2 linked regions of the Drosophila melanogaster genome follow. The protein of the gene in region 1 purifies or fractionates together with the protein of each later gene. This does not show direct contact. Each region holds a gene or a part of one and is shown on either strand. Other genes may lie near its edges.

What was found. Proteins that work in one complex are often made in the same cells at the same time.
Region 2: the proteins of Amyrel (region 1) and Synd purify together in Drosophila melanogaster (affinity purification with mass spectrometry, with the first as the bait; one large-scale study listed by BioGRID). This does not show direct contact.

The regions. Positions count from the first base shown.
Region 1 is NT_033778.4:16,649,997-16,655,338, reverse strand, and holds Amyrel (amylase related), read left to right. Parts: upstream 1-2,639; 5' UTR 2,640-2,641; coding exon 2,642-3,295; intron 3,296-3,351; coding exon 3,352-4,179; 3' UTR 4,180-4,244; downstream 4,245-5,342. Other genes in the region: nach, read left to right, coding at 293-654, 714-1,691, 1,758-1,861, 1,917-2,134.
Region 2 is NT_033777.3:20,830,619-20,839,610, reverse strand, and holds the start of Synd (syndapin), read right to left. Parts: upstream 6,813-8,992; 5' UTR 6,738-6,812; intron 5,215-6,737; exon of another isoform or gene 5,146-5,214; intron 4,387-5,145; 5' UTR 4,384-4,386; coding exon 4,280-4,383; intron 3,737-4,279; coding exon 3,627-3,736; intron 2,027-3,626; coding exon 1,689-2,026; intron 1,577-1,688; coding exon 1,350-1,576; intron 1,287-1,349; coding exon 1,166-1,286; intron 1,099-1,165; coding exon 988-1,098; intron 936-987; coding exon 724-935; intron 554-723; coding exon 396-553; intron 321-395; coding exon 214-320; 3' UTR 1-213. Other genes in the region: CG31223 (uncharacterized protein), read right to left, coding at 7,180-8,335, 8,395-8,423.

The DNA.
Region 1 (5,342 bases):
TACTAGTTTAAGAAACAAAAAACATTTAAACATTTATTGGAAGAGGGCAGAAAAAGGACCAATTACGTGTATTGGGAATGAATGTTGCTTAAAGAAGTTGTTTAAAGAATAACCAATAATCATATTCTCTTAAAGCCAACAATAAGCTTTCCTAACAACGTTGGTTACTCTTTCACCCTTGATGGCTAATTCGTAAATAATAAGCAGTTGTCAGGATATCAAGTGCAACCATCTCCTCTATCAGCTACTTAAATGCTAGCACTAAAGCAGAAGGATTTAGTTAGCAGTTACAATGGGCCATCAGGAGGAGCTGAAGCCGGAGCAAGTGGATCTGAAAGTAACCCCCTTTGTGGGCTATCTGCGACGCACATGGAGTGACTTCTGTGCCACCAGCAGTATCCATGGATTGAAATACACTCGTGACGAGGATACGAATAAGATTGTGCACCTGGTGTGGCTCTTAATATCGGTGGTGATGTTCATTTGTGCTGTTGTTATGGCGCGCACCTTCTACATGGACTATCGCAGCAGTCCGACGCGTATGAATGTGGAAAGTGATAACACACCGGTTAATAGACTCTATTTCCCACCTGTCACAATTTGTCCAGATGTACTCTTCAACATGCAAAAGTCCGAGGCCTTTCTGAACACTCTGTAAGTGTATGTTATTTAAAGGTCTGTACAAGGATGTGCCACTTGATTTATTCCTCCAGTCGACTTCCAAAAGGAGCCGAGCTGAGGGGCATTCTACGCAAACTTCACATTTTCTACGGTTTTATGCTAGATGATGAGCGCTATTCGGCGGAGGACATCGAGCAAATGGAAGCCCTTCTATTCCTAAATAATCTCACAATTCCGGAATTTGTAGAACACTTACGCTGGAATTGTGACGAAATTCTGTATCGCTGTAGGTTTAATGGTGAAATAATGGATTGTTCCAAGATATTTCAGCTTTCCAAGACGTTTTTCGGTCATTGCTGTTCATTCAATTTGAGACAAAAAGGGTGGGTAAATAACAAACTAAATAATTTAGAGAGTTTTAAAGTTTTCCATTTGAACAGTTTGAACTTCACCGCCCAACGAGCAATAGGTGGCCTTAGATATGGCCTGTCAGTGGTTGTACGGTATAAAGACGACAACTACGATCCATTGCAATCGTATTCGTATGGCGTAAAGTTATTGATCCAAGAAGCAGATGCCTTTCCCAGTGCCCATTCTGCTGCAAAATTTATAGCCTTCAATTCGGAGACATTTGCTGCAGTTAGACCTCAAGAAACGTTTTGCTCTTCTGCTGTGAAAGCTTTAATCATCGAAGAGAGAAATTGCGTTTTTCAAAATGAGTTTCCCATGCGTTACTTTTCCGATTATGTATACCCTAACTGCGAGCTAAATTGTAGAGTAACGAATATGGTCAAGTTCTGCGGTTGTCACACGTACTTTTTTGATTTTAATCGCACTAGCGATCGGATTTGTACATTTCGAGATATTCCTTGTCTAGTGGATAATTTTGGTAGGTTATTATTGATTTGCTCAAAATATAGCGATTTTAATAGATTGCTTTCAGCCAATATAATTACAAGAAAGAAAAGTACCCAGTGCTACTGTCCGCTAACCTGTGAACACATTGATTACGACGTACAGTTGACGAATTTTCCCCTGGAACTGAATATGCCGGTGGCCGATAAGTTCTAGTAAATATAATAAAAGAAATGCTGGTGAAGCATTTATTAACAGTTATTAACAACTTTTTATTTCAGTTCGGGCTTAGCCAAAAACGATGGTGTATTGCATGTCTTTATCAATTCGTTTAGCTACCGCCGATTGCGACGTGACTTGCTTTCCAATATGGTTACTTTGGTGTGTAAGTTGATTAAAATACTCCTTTATGAATTTGTATTAAAAATGTCAATTTTCAGCTAATCTAGGCAGCGCCTTCAGTCTTTTTGTGGGCATGAGCATGCTTTCGGTGGTAGAAATTATCTACTATTTTTCAGTAATTTTACGCAAGAACTACAAACTGGAATGCGAAACTCGCAGTCAGATGCTTCACAAGAAGCCGAAGTTCGCGTGGCCCAAAGCTAATGACACTCACAGTAAAGAGCAGAAATCAGTTTTCATAATTCACAAATCGTAATCAGCACGATGGGCGAATGCAAAAAAATATTGCCATAAATTAGAGCAATAAAATCGATTTTAAGCTGACTATAAGGTCCGAATGAACTTTGATATACTCTTTTGGAGGCGGTTCTTGTTTTCTTTAGGAAGAAATACATATACTTTTATTGTGTTGTCTTGAAGAACTAACATTTAAACTTAGATTCGAATTCGATTATGTGATGTGATTGTAACACAAGCTTTAAATCCTATGCAAGTTACAATGTTTATGCGGTTATCTTTTACGGGACTAAACCAAGCAGCCGCCTGGTAGGAAAATCCAAGATACCCGCGAGTTGCAAATATCTATCCTACTATCGCATATTGCCATAGGTCAGCCAATGGACATTGTAAATCTGCCCCCAATCTGGGGGCGACCATCTGGTGGTCGTAAATTGGACCCAAGCGAAGCAAATCCGCGATAAGATTGTCCGTGGGGTATAAAAAGGGGAAATTGCTATGAAGATTACTCACAGTATATACGGTCATGTTCAAGTTCGCTTTGACCCTGACGCTCTGCTTGGCGGGCAGCCTTTCGCTGGCCCAGCACAATCCCCATTGGTGGGGCAATCGCAACACCATCGTCCACTTGTTCGAGTGGAAGTGGTCGGACATTGCCCAGGAGTGTGAGAGTTTTCTCGGACCTCGAGGATTCGCCGGCGTTCAAGTGAGCCCCGTTAATGAGAACATCTTATCGGCGGGTCGTCCGTGGTGGGAGCGATATCAACCCATCTCGTACAAGCTGACCACTCGGTCTGGTAATGAGGAGGAATTTGGTGACATGGTCCGTCGTTGCAACGATGTGGGTGTTCGTATCTATGTGGATGTGCTGTTGAACCACATGTCCGGAGATTTTGACGGTGTGGCTGTGGGCACTGCTGGAACAGAGGCGGAACCCAGTAAGAAATCCTTCCCAGGAGTTCCATACACCGCACAGGACTTCCATCCCACCTGCGAGATTACCGACTGGAACGATCGCTTCCAGGTGCAACAGTGCGAACTGGTTGGCCTCAAGGATCTTGACCAGAGCAGCGACTGGGTGAGGAGCAAGCTAATTGAGTTCCTGGATCACCTCATCGAACTGGGTGTTGCTGGCTTCCGGGTGGATGCCGCCAAGCATATGGCATCGGAAGATCTAGAGGTGAGTTTAGCTTTTCCCAGTTTGGAACGATTAGTTAATGGTGTTTTTTTCCGCAGTACATCTACAGCAGCCTGAGCAACCTGAACATCGATCACGGCTTTCCTCACAACTCCCGTCCCTTCATCTTCCAGGAGGTAATTGATCACGGTCACGAAACCGTCTCCCGTGATGAGTACAAGGATCTGGGTGCCGTCACCGAGTTCCGATTCTCCGAGGAGATTGGCAACGCCTTCCGTGGCAACAACGCACTGAAATGGCTGCAGAGCTGGGGAACCGATTGGGGATTCTTGCCCTCGGGTCAGGCCTTGACCTTTGTGGACAACCACGATAACCAGCGAGACGCGGGTGCCGTGCTGAACTACAAGTCCCCCAGGCAGTACAAAATGGCAACCGCCTTCCATTTGGCCTATCCCTACGGCATCAGTCGGGTGATGAGCTCATTCGCCTTCGATGACCACGATACCCCGCCGCCGCAGGATGCGCAGGAGAGAATAATTTCACCCGAGTTCGATGCGGATGGAGCCTGTGTGAATGGCTGGATTTGCGAGCATCGTTGGCGTCAGATCTACGCGATGGTGGGCTTCAAGAACGCCGTTCGGGATACGGAGATCACCGGCTGGTGGGACAATGGAGACAACCAGATCTCCTTCTGTCGCGGCAACAAGGGCTTCCTGGCTATCAACAACAACCTGTACGATTTGTCGCAGGATCTGAATACCTGTCTGCCTGCCGGAACCTACTGCGATGTGATTTCCGGCAGCCTGATCGACGGATCCTGCACCGGCAAATCGGTCACTGTGAACGAGAATGGCTATGGCTATATACACATCGGATCCGATGACTTCGACGGTGTACTGGCCCTGCATGTGGATGCCAAAGTTTAAGTAAAGGTAACACAGAAATCTGGGCTTTATTTTTGTCTCAAATTACAATAAAAACGAACGCACATAATGTTGGAAGGTATTAGCTCTAACTATTCGAGTATGTTTGTGAGCGGTAACAATAGCAATAAAAATGCAAAGTAAGGTATTTAACGCGATTCGATTCGATTCGTTTTTAACTGGACTTAGTCTAACAAATGCCACGACAACGACATCCTGTGAATAAACAACCGGAAAAGCGGAATACTAAATATATGTATATACATATGTAGTATTCAGTATATAAGCTGGGCAAACTGGGCCTACATCCACATCCGATCCAGCTGGCACACTGTGAACGTAAACCCGCTCTGCAAATAGAAAAAGTTGGCATTGTGAAATTGTAGTTGGGTGTTCTGGCCGGAATTGAATCCGAATCGCTACAATTTGCTCCATTGGCGATCACCTCTCACAAGCATTCAGAGGCGCAATGGAAAATCGATCGAAAATATGGTAAACTGTTAAGCGATTTGGTCAGCGACTGTTTGGTTAGTTTCAAAACAAGCAACTACAAATCAAAATAGCAACGTTTCTACTGGCATTCCGATTACGAGTGTTACGAGTTTGTAGTTCTGGATCGATGGATCCATTCAGATCCCCAAGAAGTCGGCTGGTGGCAATTTGATGTGTGGTTATCGGTACGATTAGTTACCATTTGATTGGAATTAAATGCTTATGAAGCGTAATTACCTGTAAAATGCTGATATCTTGCTTCTTAGGAGTAACTCGCTAAAAACGGTTCTTACTCCACTTAGAATATAACATAGATCTGTGTATACTTTGTAAACTATGATTCTTTAGTTACTCTGCTTAAATTTAGGCTTGCTTTACTCAGGGTTACACTAACTTTGACTAACAAACACAGAGTCCAAAAATGTTGCTCAAAGTTTAACAATAATTATTAATTAATTTAGTAATACAATTTTTCCACTCTTCGCGCGGCACAAAAGCAAATGCTTTTCCTAAATTTTAAGATTTAAGTACGGCCCCAAGTCCAGCTTTAATATACAAACATTTACGCACACCCAGATGCGCATAATTTTGTTTTGATCTTAGTCTTAGGAGCTAACTAGAAAATCTTGTCTCACCTTTTGCAATAGCAGCGCAGTTCGGTTACATTTAGATTT
Region 2 (8,992 bases), on another chromosome or scaffold:
TTAGATGCCGCACTATCGTCCGGATAAGTACGAATAGTGCAAGCGATTGCTCATAACAATTTCTAATACATATGTATGGTAATTTTTCATCAACGACTCTTTTACTGAATACGCAATCCGTAATGCGTCTCTAACCTCTGTGTTATGCTGCATATACATATCTGCGCGTATATAACTGCTTAACGACTTCCCCTATTCTTCCCCTACGCCCGCTTACGCGGTCTCCACATAGTTGGCCGGATACAGTCCGACGCGCCCATTCATGCGTCCCTTGCACCAGCCTTGTTCGTCTTCATCTTCGAGCTTCTCGAAAACATCACCTGAAAGAGTAAAAGGGTCGAACGAGCGGTGAGCGGTGACCGTTGGAGATTATCATATGGAGGGCTTCTACACACCTTGCTTGAATGTGAGCTCATCACTTTCAGCGCCCTCGTAATCATACAGCGCTTTGACCGGCACGCCTGGCTCACCGTTGTCCACCAGCACGTTGTCGCTCTCGTCCCACTCCTCCTCCTCGTCGAATGGATTTGCATCGACTTTGCCGTTGCCGTTGCTGTGTATACAAATTGAAATCAATTAGTTCAATGAAAATGAGCGCATTCAACGCGACGTGTCTCTGGATTGGCGAGCAAGCCAGCCATACAGCCATACACAACCATTCAGCCATCAAGCCATCAGGCAGTCCAAGTGTAATTCAAAACAATACAAACTGTTTCAACTTACGTTACGCTCGAGTTGCGATTGGATGCCGCTGACGCCGCTGTTGCTGCTGCCGTTGCCGTCGCAGCGCCGGCAACCGCCGCCGATGTTTTGGCTTCCGATGTGGTGACTGAGGATTGCGTGGTCGCTATTTCGCTCTTCACACTCGCTCTGCTGCTGACACTGCTCAAGGTGCTGGTGTTCTTCTTCAGGCTGTTTGTCTGGGGGTATTCCTGCTAAAGAGCTGGCTTAGTCTGATATTAACTACTGGGTAGTCAACTGGCTTACGTGCACATCCTCGGCCACAGGTCGCTGGTTGATGAGCGTGATGGGTGCTGCCGGCAGTGCCTCTTTTGATTTGTTGCCCTTGGCAATGTCACGGAACTCCTCCGTATATTCCTGTCAACAAATAGGAAGTTCTTCCATTAGCGGCCACACTGGGCTTCAGTAAAAACAGAAAACTCACCACAAATGATGGCCAATTCATGGCCATGTTAATGCCATGATTGTTCGACCACCATTTTAGGTCTTTCTGCTGGTCTGCATTGTTGATCGTGTGGGAGAACTCCTCGTAGATTTGGGGCAGGCTGTAAGTCATGTAAAAGTTATTTAAATGGATCAGTTAAACTCAAATCAAATTCAATTCGCACCTTTGCACTTTTGTGAGGTCCAGGCACGAGTGCACGTTGAACAGGATTTCTTTGAAGAACTGCAAACGCGTCTTCTCAAAGGTTTGGCACTTTTCAAACACGGATGTCATGTCCTCGATGTACACCGAATTGTATTTGGTGATTTCGGCAATCGCCTGCTCGTACTTTTCCCGGCACTTTTGCACTTGATCTTTGGTCTTTTGCACTCGATCGTGCATTTTCTTCACCTAATTAGGAAATGAGAAGTGGTGTGAGCATAAAATTAATAAATAAATTAAATTAATAGTTATACATACATATGTATAACTAAACTATTGCTTTTACAAAAAAGATCCTTACCTGATCCGGCGACAACGAGCTATCGGCATTGGCATTGCGTTCCTGATTGGTAGCACTGCGCTCCGTCTTGCAGGCCGAATGGTAGTCCGCTTTGGCCTTCTCGACCTTTGCCAGCAGCTTGGCCCAGGGTTTCTGGGCCTTCTTGAACAGATCCTCCAGGTCCTTGCGCTCCTTGATCTGCATAAGCGTGTGGTGGTAGTTCTCCTTCTGCCACGTCTTTATCTGGCTGTTCACATCGTTGCAGAGATTGTCCTTGATCTTCATGTGAACGTCGGAGATGCGTTCCGATTCCGTCAGAACGCCCTTCCAGGCTGCCTCCGTGGTTCCGTATTCCGGGCCTGAAACAAATCAGACATTCGTTATATATCTCTTTTAGCGTTTCTCAATTAACAACAGATTACAAGCGTGTCACCCTGTCGAGCTGTTTGCGGCTGACGTCATCGTGAGCCCCGCGGGTACTTGGTTTATCTAATCAGCCGCAGCCGCAAGATATATACAAACATACATATGTAGCCATATCTATAGGTATAGCAAATATAAAATGCCCGAAGAATAAGCGCTTGTATGGGTGCTGCGATGGAGGAACATCGTACATTTTTGGCATTTTTTATTGGGACCCCAAACACACGGCAATCAAGTTGATATGATGCTCGTCTTATAATTGGCAGTGCACGGAACTCGTTTGCCTAACGACTCACTATTCCCAATTCCCCCTGTGAAAAGGCACACAAACAGATATATAGAAATTGAGACGCTTAGCACACAAATAACTCGTTCTATTTTCTCGTCGCATTGATTTTTGAAACCATTTCAAGCGACGCTCTGGTGCCGGTTTGCTTTGGTGCCGAGTTATGGGCCACTGTCCAGCGCTTCTGCCTCCCAGTCTCCGTATCTGTAACTGTGAACGTATCTGTATCTGTATTTGTATCTGCACACGTATTCGTATCTGTATCTTTGGCTAGACGCGGCTAGGCAAATTCCTCGCAAATAAGAAAACTCGAAGAGCACTCGGAGGCGGAGGAAGTGATGGTAGTCGCTTTTGCAATTGCCCATCGCTGGTTACTGTGAAAGTGGACACTGAGAATTCCGTGCAGAGGCGGTCACAGAAAATAGCAGCAATAGAAGCAAACAGTACCAATGGGGCAAAGCGGTTTCCAACTTCGCAAGCGCTGTACTCGATTTCATTTTACGAAGAAGCGCGCACACTGTGCCGGACATCCGCTAAAAATGGTCAAAGACCCAATTCCGAAAACAATGAGTGAGTCGATGATTACCGCCGTTTTCGAAAATAGTATTTGGTAGTGTGTACTTATAGAAGTACATATATGAGGCAATAGCAAGGTAATAAAACCTTAAGAACCCATATAACTTATATATCAAAAAATAAAAATTGTATATTACTATAAAGCAGAAACCCACAGATATTTGATTCTTTATTTATTTATTATTTTCTCTTGTACAAACTTAAGATTTCCGCTGCCGAATTTTAATTGTTTAGAATGAAGAGTGTGAAGAGTGTATGCATATGTTTATGTTAGTTAATCCAAACACTTTGCCAGCCCCGCTCATTAACATACTTAAATAAATTGGTGTGGCGATTTTGAACCACAGTGCGCAGCTTTTGCAGAATACAACCGACAAAAACGAGGTAACGAAAAACGTAAAAAAAACCATTAATAGCTTAAGCCACTTATCGCACAACGGCAACAACAATGCTCAGAATGATGTACAGAATGTAGAAAATAAGAACAGCCAGTGGGCCAAATAAGTGGTGGGAATTCAACGTGAGCGGGTCACTTGATGCTCCACTGGGCTTTTAGCTCGTGAATGAATGTGTTGGCCAACAGAAGGCTTCCACGACTGATGATGTCTCATCCCACAGGCCACAGCCACCCACATCCCCATATCTCACCAGATCCCCACCTGCCGCTCACTTACCTTTCTCAATGAGTTCACCCCATTTCTTTGACCAGGTGCGCAGGCTTTTCGCATATCCCTTCTCGATGTCGGCACGCTCCTGAATCAGTTGCTGTAGGTCATTGCAGAGTCTGCGGGCGAAATGAGACAAGAATCATAATAATGCAAACCGGTTTGAATTTTTGTCTTGGGTTTGGGCTTCGGGTGTCGATATATTCGGCTGGCAATGACCCAGCGTCGCCCAGTGCAAATACACAGAGAGAACCCATTACCTATTTGCTTAAAAAGATTGATTGTATCACTAGAAATCAAAGCTCATTAAAAAAGTTTATGAAATGTCCACATAAGTAGAACAAATTGAGTTAATACTAAGACCAATGCTTATACCAAGGTCTTTATATTTTCTTATTTTTTTCCCTTAAATAAATACGAATTGCTGTAAGTTTGCATTCAAAACAATGTGATGACACTGCATGACCTACTAAACACACAGAAAAGATACAGTTACCAATACCAATTGGTATGACAGAAACGTTGAAAAACGATTGGGTTGCAGCTACGAATATGTTTTTGAATATTAAGCCAATTGTATTATGTCGAGGAATTCGACTGACATAATGGCAAAATAAAGTATCTCTCTGTGCACCAAGACTCCCTGGGGATTATCCACTCACTTGTAACCATCCTCGATCCGCTTGGTGGTGCGTTTGTAGTTGCCGGGCTCCCAGAAGGAATCGCTTCCAGCCTGGAGGAGCTGATCATCGCTGTGGTGGGACATTTCCTGTGGATTCCAATCAATATTAATCAATCACATACGACGGGCTTAAGCGCAATAATCGTAAAATATGAGTTTTGTTACGTAAATAGACACTGCAGACATAAACAACTTCCACACAGCAGCAACAACAAAAAGCTCTTTGTTTATACGCAAACTTGTATTTTTGTAGTGTTTGGCTAAGACCAACAAATCGTTTGTTAAACGACATACTATAGTAAACCCAAACGAGACGGGCTCTGAGTAAATTTATTGTTTGCCTAATTTGTTCAATTAAGAAATTCCTTCACATTGATGCAACAGGCAGAACTTTAATTACTGGAGCCTTATCAACGACCATATTTCTTGACGGTTTCGCCGAGTGTCCCCATTGATAAAGACTGGACTTATCACCCCTGACTCATTGTGCAACTTTGCATGGTGTTCTGCCAATGGGTTTACTATTTTCAAATTGGAATATTAAGGTAATGTCTTATTTTAATTGAAAAAATTTTCTTCGAAACTAAAAAATAAACATATTTTTAACCATATTAAGATAAATAAATATTTGTAATTTATTTTGAATTCGATTATTTTTAGTATCGCTTTCAAATATTATTTCTGTTTTTTGAGATAAATAGATAATGTTGACAGATTTTCTTTCTGTGTAGCATACATTTTCCACCGTAATAGTTTCATCTTATCAAGGGAATTCTCATGCACCCATATTTTGTAACCCAGATAAATGAGATCCCAAAAATTGAATTTGAAATTTAATATACATACACGCTTCAGGTGTTCTGCATTTCTGATTGTACGCTGAACAGTTGATACGCTTGTTTTTACTCCGGACAAATTCGAAAATTAGAATTCGAAGCAATTCTAACAATTTGGCGTTCTGCTTGCTTTGATAGTGCTTTTTTCTTTCCTTTGAAGTTATTCCCATATGCCTCTGGAACCTTCAAATATCTATCAACAGTTCTGCAGCTGCGATTTATCTGTTTGGCAATGTTCCGATTAGGCAATCCTTGCGAGTGTAGGAAGTCTACTTTTTGACGTTCCAATAAGCAGCAGCTTTACCCATTTTTTCTTCAAATGTAGCTCGAAAACACTTTATTCGTTTATTTGTTATATTTTTTCAATACAACAGTTTATACTTGTCCACGCAATACGAAGAAATTTAAGCTGCATCTAATTCAATGACCAACAGAAAACTTTGATAAGAAAAGCATTTTGGACAATTAAAAAAAGCATGCAAATAAATGATCGATTTTGTTAAAAAAAAAACGATTGTGCGTCTAACCTAAGAGCAGCAGTGTACATCGTATTGGAGACCCTTACGTGTGACAACATTTAACATTTCAATTCTCTCTGTGTAGCGAGCTAAATTTTTTCATACTCGGCGATGGGAAATCTTGGTATCTTATCAGTGGAGTGGAGTTTCCCTGCATCAGCTGTTTGTAAACAATGCAGTCAGTTTGAGTTCCACTCGCACACACCCGTATGGTGAATAACGGTTATGTTATCAGCAGCATTGACCGGTTATATACATGCTTTCTTATTTATATATGTATAATAACCTCTGCTGAAGTTTAATCACCTACACACATGTGTAGATTGGTGATGTTGGGTCTGCTGAATGTGGAATCTTGTATCTTGGGTTGACTTGATTTGGGCGTCATCGACTCACGATGCGCTTACGGATTTTCCCCATCATCGGCTATAAATATAAATATAGGATCGCGGCTCAGTGCGATTTTCGTGTTTTGCGTGTGGAAATGGCCAGCAGAAAGTTTACAAACAGGTTGACGCATACTTCGCATATTTGTGGAGATAGATAAGCACCTTTACGGCGCTCTCACAAGCACTCGCGCCACACACACACACACACATACGTATATGCACATCTAAACCAACACGTCGCACACTTAGGCGATAAGAAATCCCCCTCCGCCAAACAACCAAGAAACTCGTTTATCTTTGAGATTGAACTTGTCTCGACCGTTTCTACTGTAAATATTTGCATCGTTTTCCAGCACACCTTACATAAGGTTTTCTTGGGGCGCTGCTATTAAAATGCTTTCGCTGTGCACTAATTTTTAGCAGGCGAAGCGTACGAAGAGCACTTGCTGGCCGATTGGATTTTGTTGTTGCCAGACGCACACCGACACGCACACACGCTCGGCTAGGTCACACAAACACACGGGAAGCGAAATTCCGCTACACCCAAACGCGTTTACATGAAATGTTCTGTTCTAAATTGCGATCGCTTTTGTTGTTGCTGCTGCTGCAGCTGCACTGCATTTAAATGGTTGTTAAATAATCCTTGGCTTTGGGTCTCTGGCACTTGTTCATACCGAAGCAGGGCGACAACCTACCAATAACAAAATAGCGTAAAAAAGCACTACAACTCGAGTGTGTGTCTGGAATCGCCAACTAAAAAAACTATGTGAGGTGTGACCGTTTCGCGACCATTCAAATACACCTCGCGGCTAGCTGAAAATACCGCTCCATACGAATACAAAAATACCGAAATGTATTTAGGATATACATTTATTTTTAAGACATCTGTACATATTTTTAAGTACTAGTTACAGTACTAGCACAAAGTCAAGTTTTACTTAAACCAATTTGTTCTTTAAGTCCTTAAAATACTGAAGTTTCCAATCAAAATGTGTACACTAATTATACATAGTTGTATTTAAATTCCAAGTAAAATAAAACAATAAAATAACAATCAATCTATAGTCAATACCGCTCCAAATTTTGTGGACAATATAAAAACAGAATTATTTTGAAATGTTTATTTTAGAGGATTGCTTAAAGGACTTCTTCCCGCGCCACATACGACAGCATAAACTCGATTTTGCGAACCAGTTGCGCCAGTTTGGTGCGATCCAATTGCACACTTCCGCTGGCCAAAGCGAACAGCTTCTGGAACTCGGCTTCCTGGGTATTCTTACGGCGACTGATTGCCTTCGTCTGCTGCAGCAGATAGAGAACATCACTAAGGGCGGCCAACTTGTGCTCCTTCGTAGCCATCAACTGGCGGGCATCCTGCTGCAGCTGCTCCCTGTTGTCGACGAGGAAATTGGCACCTCCTGCAGCACTTCCAACTGCAGCCGCGCCGGCAGGACCATTACCCGTGGTGATGGCTTCCATCTCTACGGAGACAATAGCGTCCTCAGCATCCTCGAAGTTGGTGCCGTACTTTAAGGTGGCGCTGAGATTGACAAGGTGGGCCACTGCCTCGCTGGCATTGGTCCTCTGTTCGCCGCCAAAGAAACGAGCCACACAGGCGTAGGCGCTTAGTATGTTCCACAAATTGTAGTGCAGGCACGGAGACGGAGTTTTCTTGCATATATCGGAGAATTTGGCAATGCTCCCGAAAATTTCGGGAACACGGCTCTCTTTCTTGGCAGCTTCTTCGGGTGTAGGTATAATCACAATCTTAGAGTTCTTCGGCTTGATCCACCAGGGCTTGTAGTCTGGCATAAGCTTCATGATATCTCCATTGGTGATCAATTTCTGGAACTCATCTTGCTCCTCTGTAGTTAACCGGCTCCAAACTTCATCCGCATCGTTGATATCAACGCCTTTCAGTCGAGTTGCAATGTCTTCCTCCAGGTCTTCATCCAGTATGTCCCCCTCGGTGACGTTTTCTTCCGCCTCATCTTCTTCTGACTCTCCTTCCTCGCCTCCATCCGAGTCCAAACTATTTTCCAGGCCATCTGTATCAAATTCCTGGGGATTGAAACCACTGTCCGTTTCTCTCATCCTCTTCAGTATGTCGTATATTTTCCGCATGTCCTCCTGGCTTTCCTGCGTTACCGTGTTTTGGGTCAGCTCGTCCTGAATGCAGGACTTGTAGAAAGCCTCGGAACATTTAAGGTGCTCCTTGGACTTGTAGCATCCCACGCTGCAATACAAAGCATTGCACTTGGGACAGGTGTACTTGAAGGACACCTCGCGACAGCTGCAGGAGATTAATATATATTGAACCGCTATAATTAATATTACTTGTTAACTACTTACAAGTGACACTTTTCATCGGCTTCCGACATGGTCAAACAAAATGGAATAAACAAAATAGTGCGGTCGCCAACAGCTGATCGCTGTAGTGTGACCGTAACCACGATTCGTTAAGTAACGGCTTTTCAAATGGATAAGTTTTTATTTTGTTGTAAACAAAATAAAGTTGTTTGTAAACAAATTATACGACTTAGATATTATAAGAGTTGGATTTAATTTGAATTACGCAATTTCTCTTGTTTTTTACATAGGAATTTATTAGCAAATAACTATGTATATCAAATATGAACCTTAAAGATAAAATATATTTAAATATTAACTAGTTAGTCTTTTTACAAAAATTCGTTGTAACTAAACAATACACCTATCAACTACGAACATCAATGAAAAGAGAATAATAATATATTATTTAAGTACTTTAAATGTAAAAAGACTTATGAGAGATTGAAAATGCTTATATAAATGAAAAACAACTTAATTAATTAAAAATAAAAATATAACTGCAAATAAACAGTAAGGGACCTAATATGACCGTACCACCTCCACCCACGCAACGCGTTCAGTGTTACCATCGCGAGCCGCTGGCGCAAATGGCGCGCGC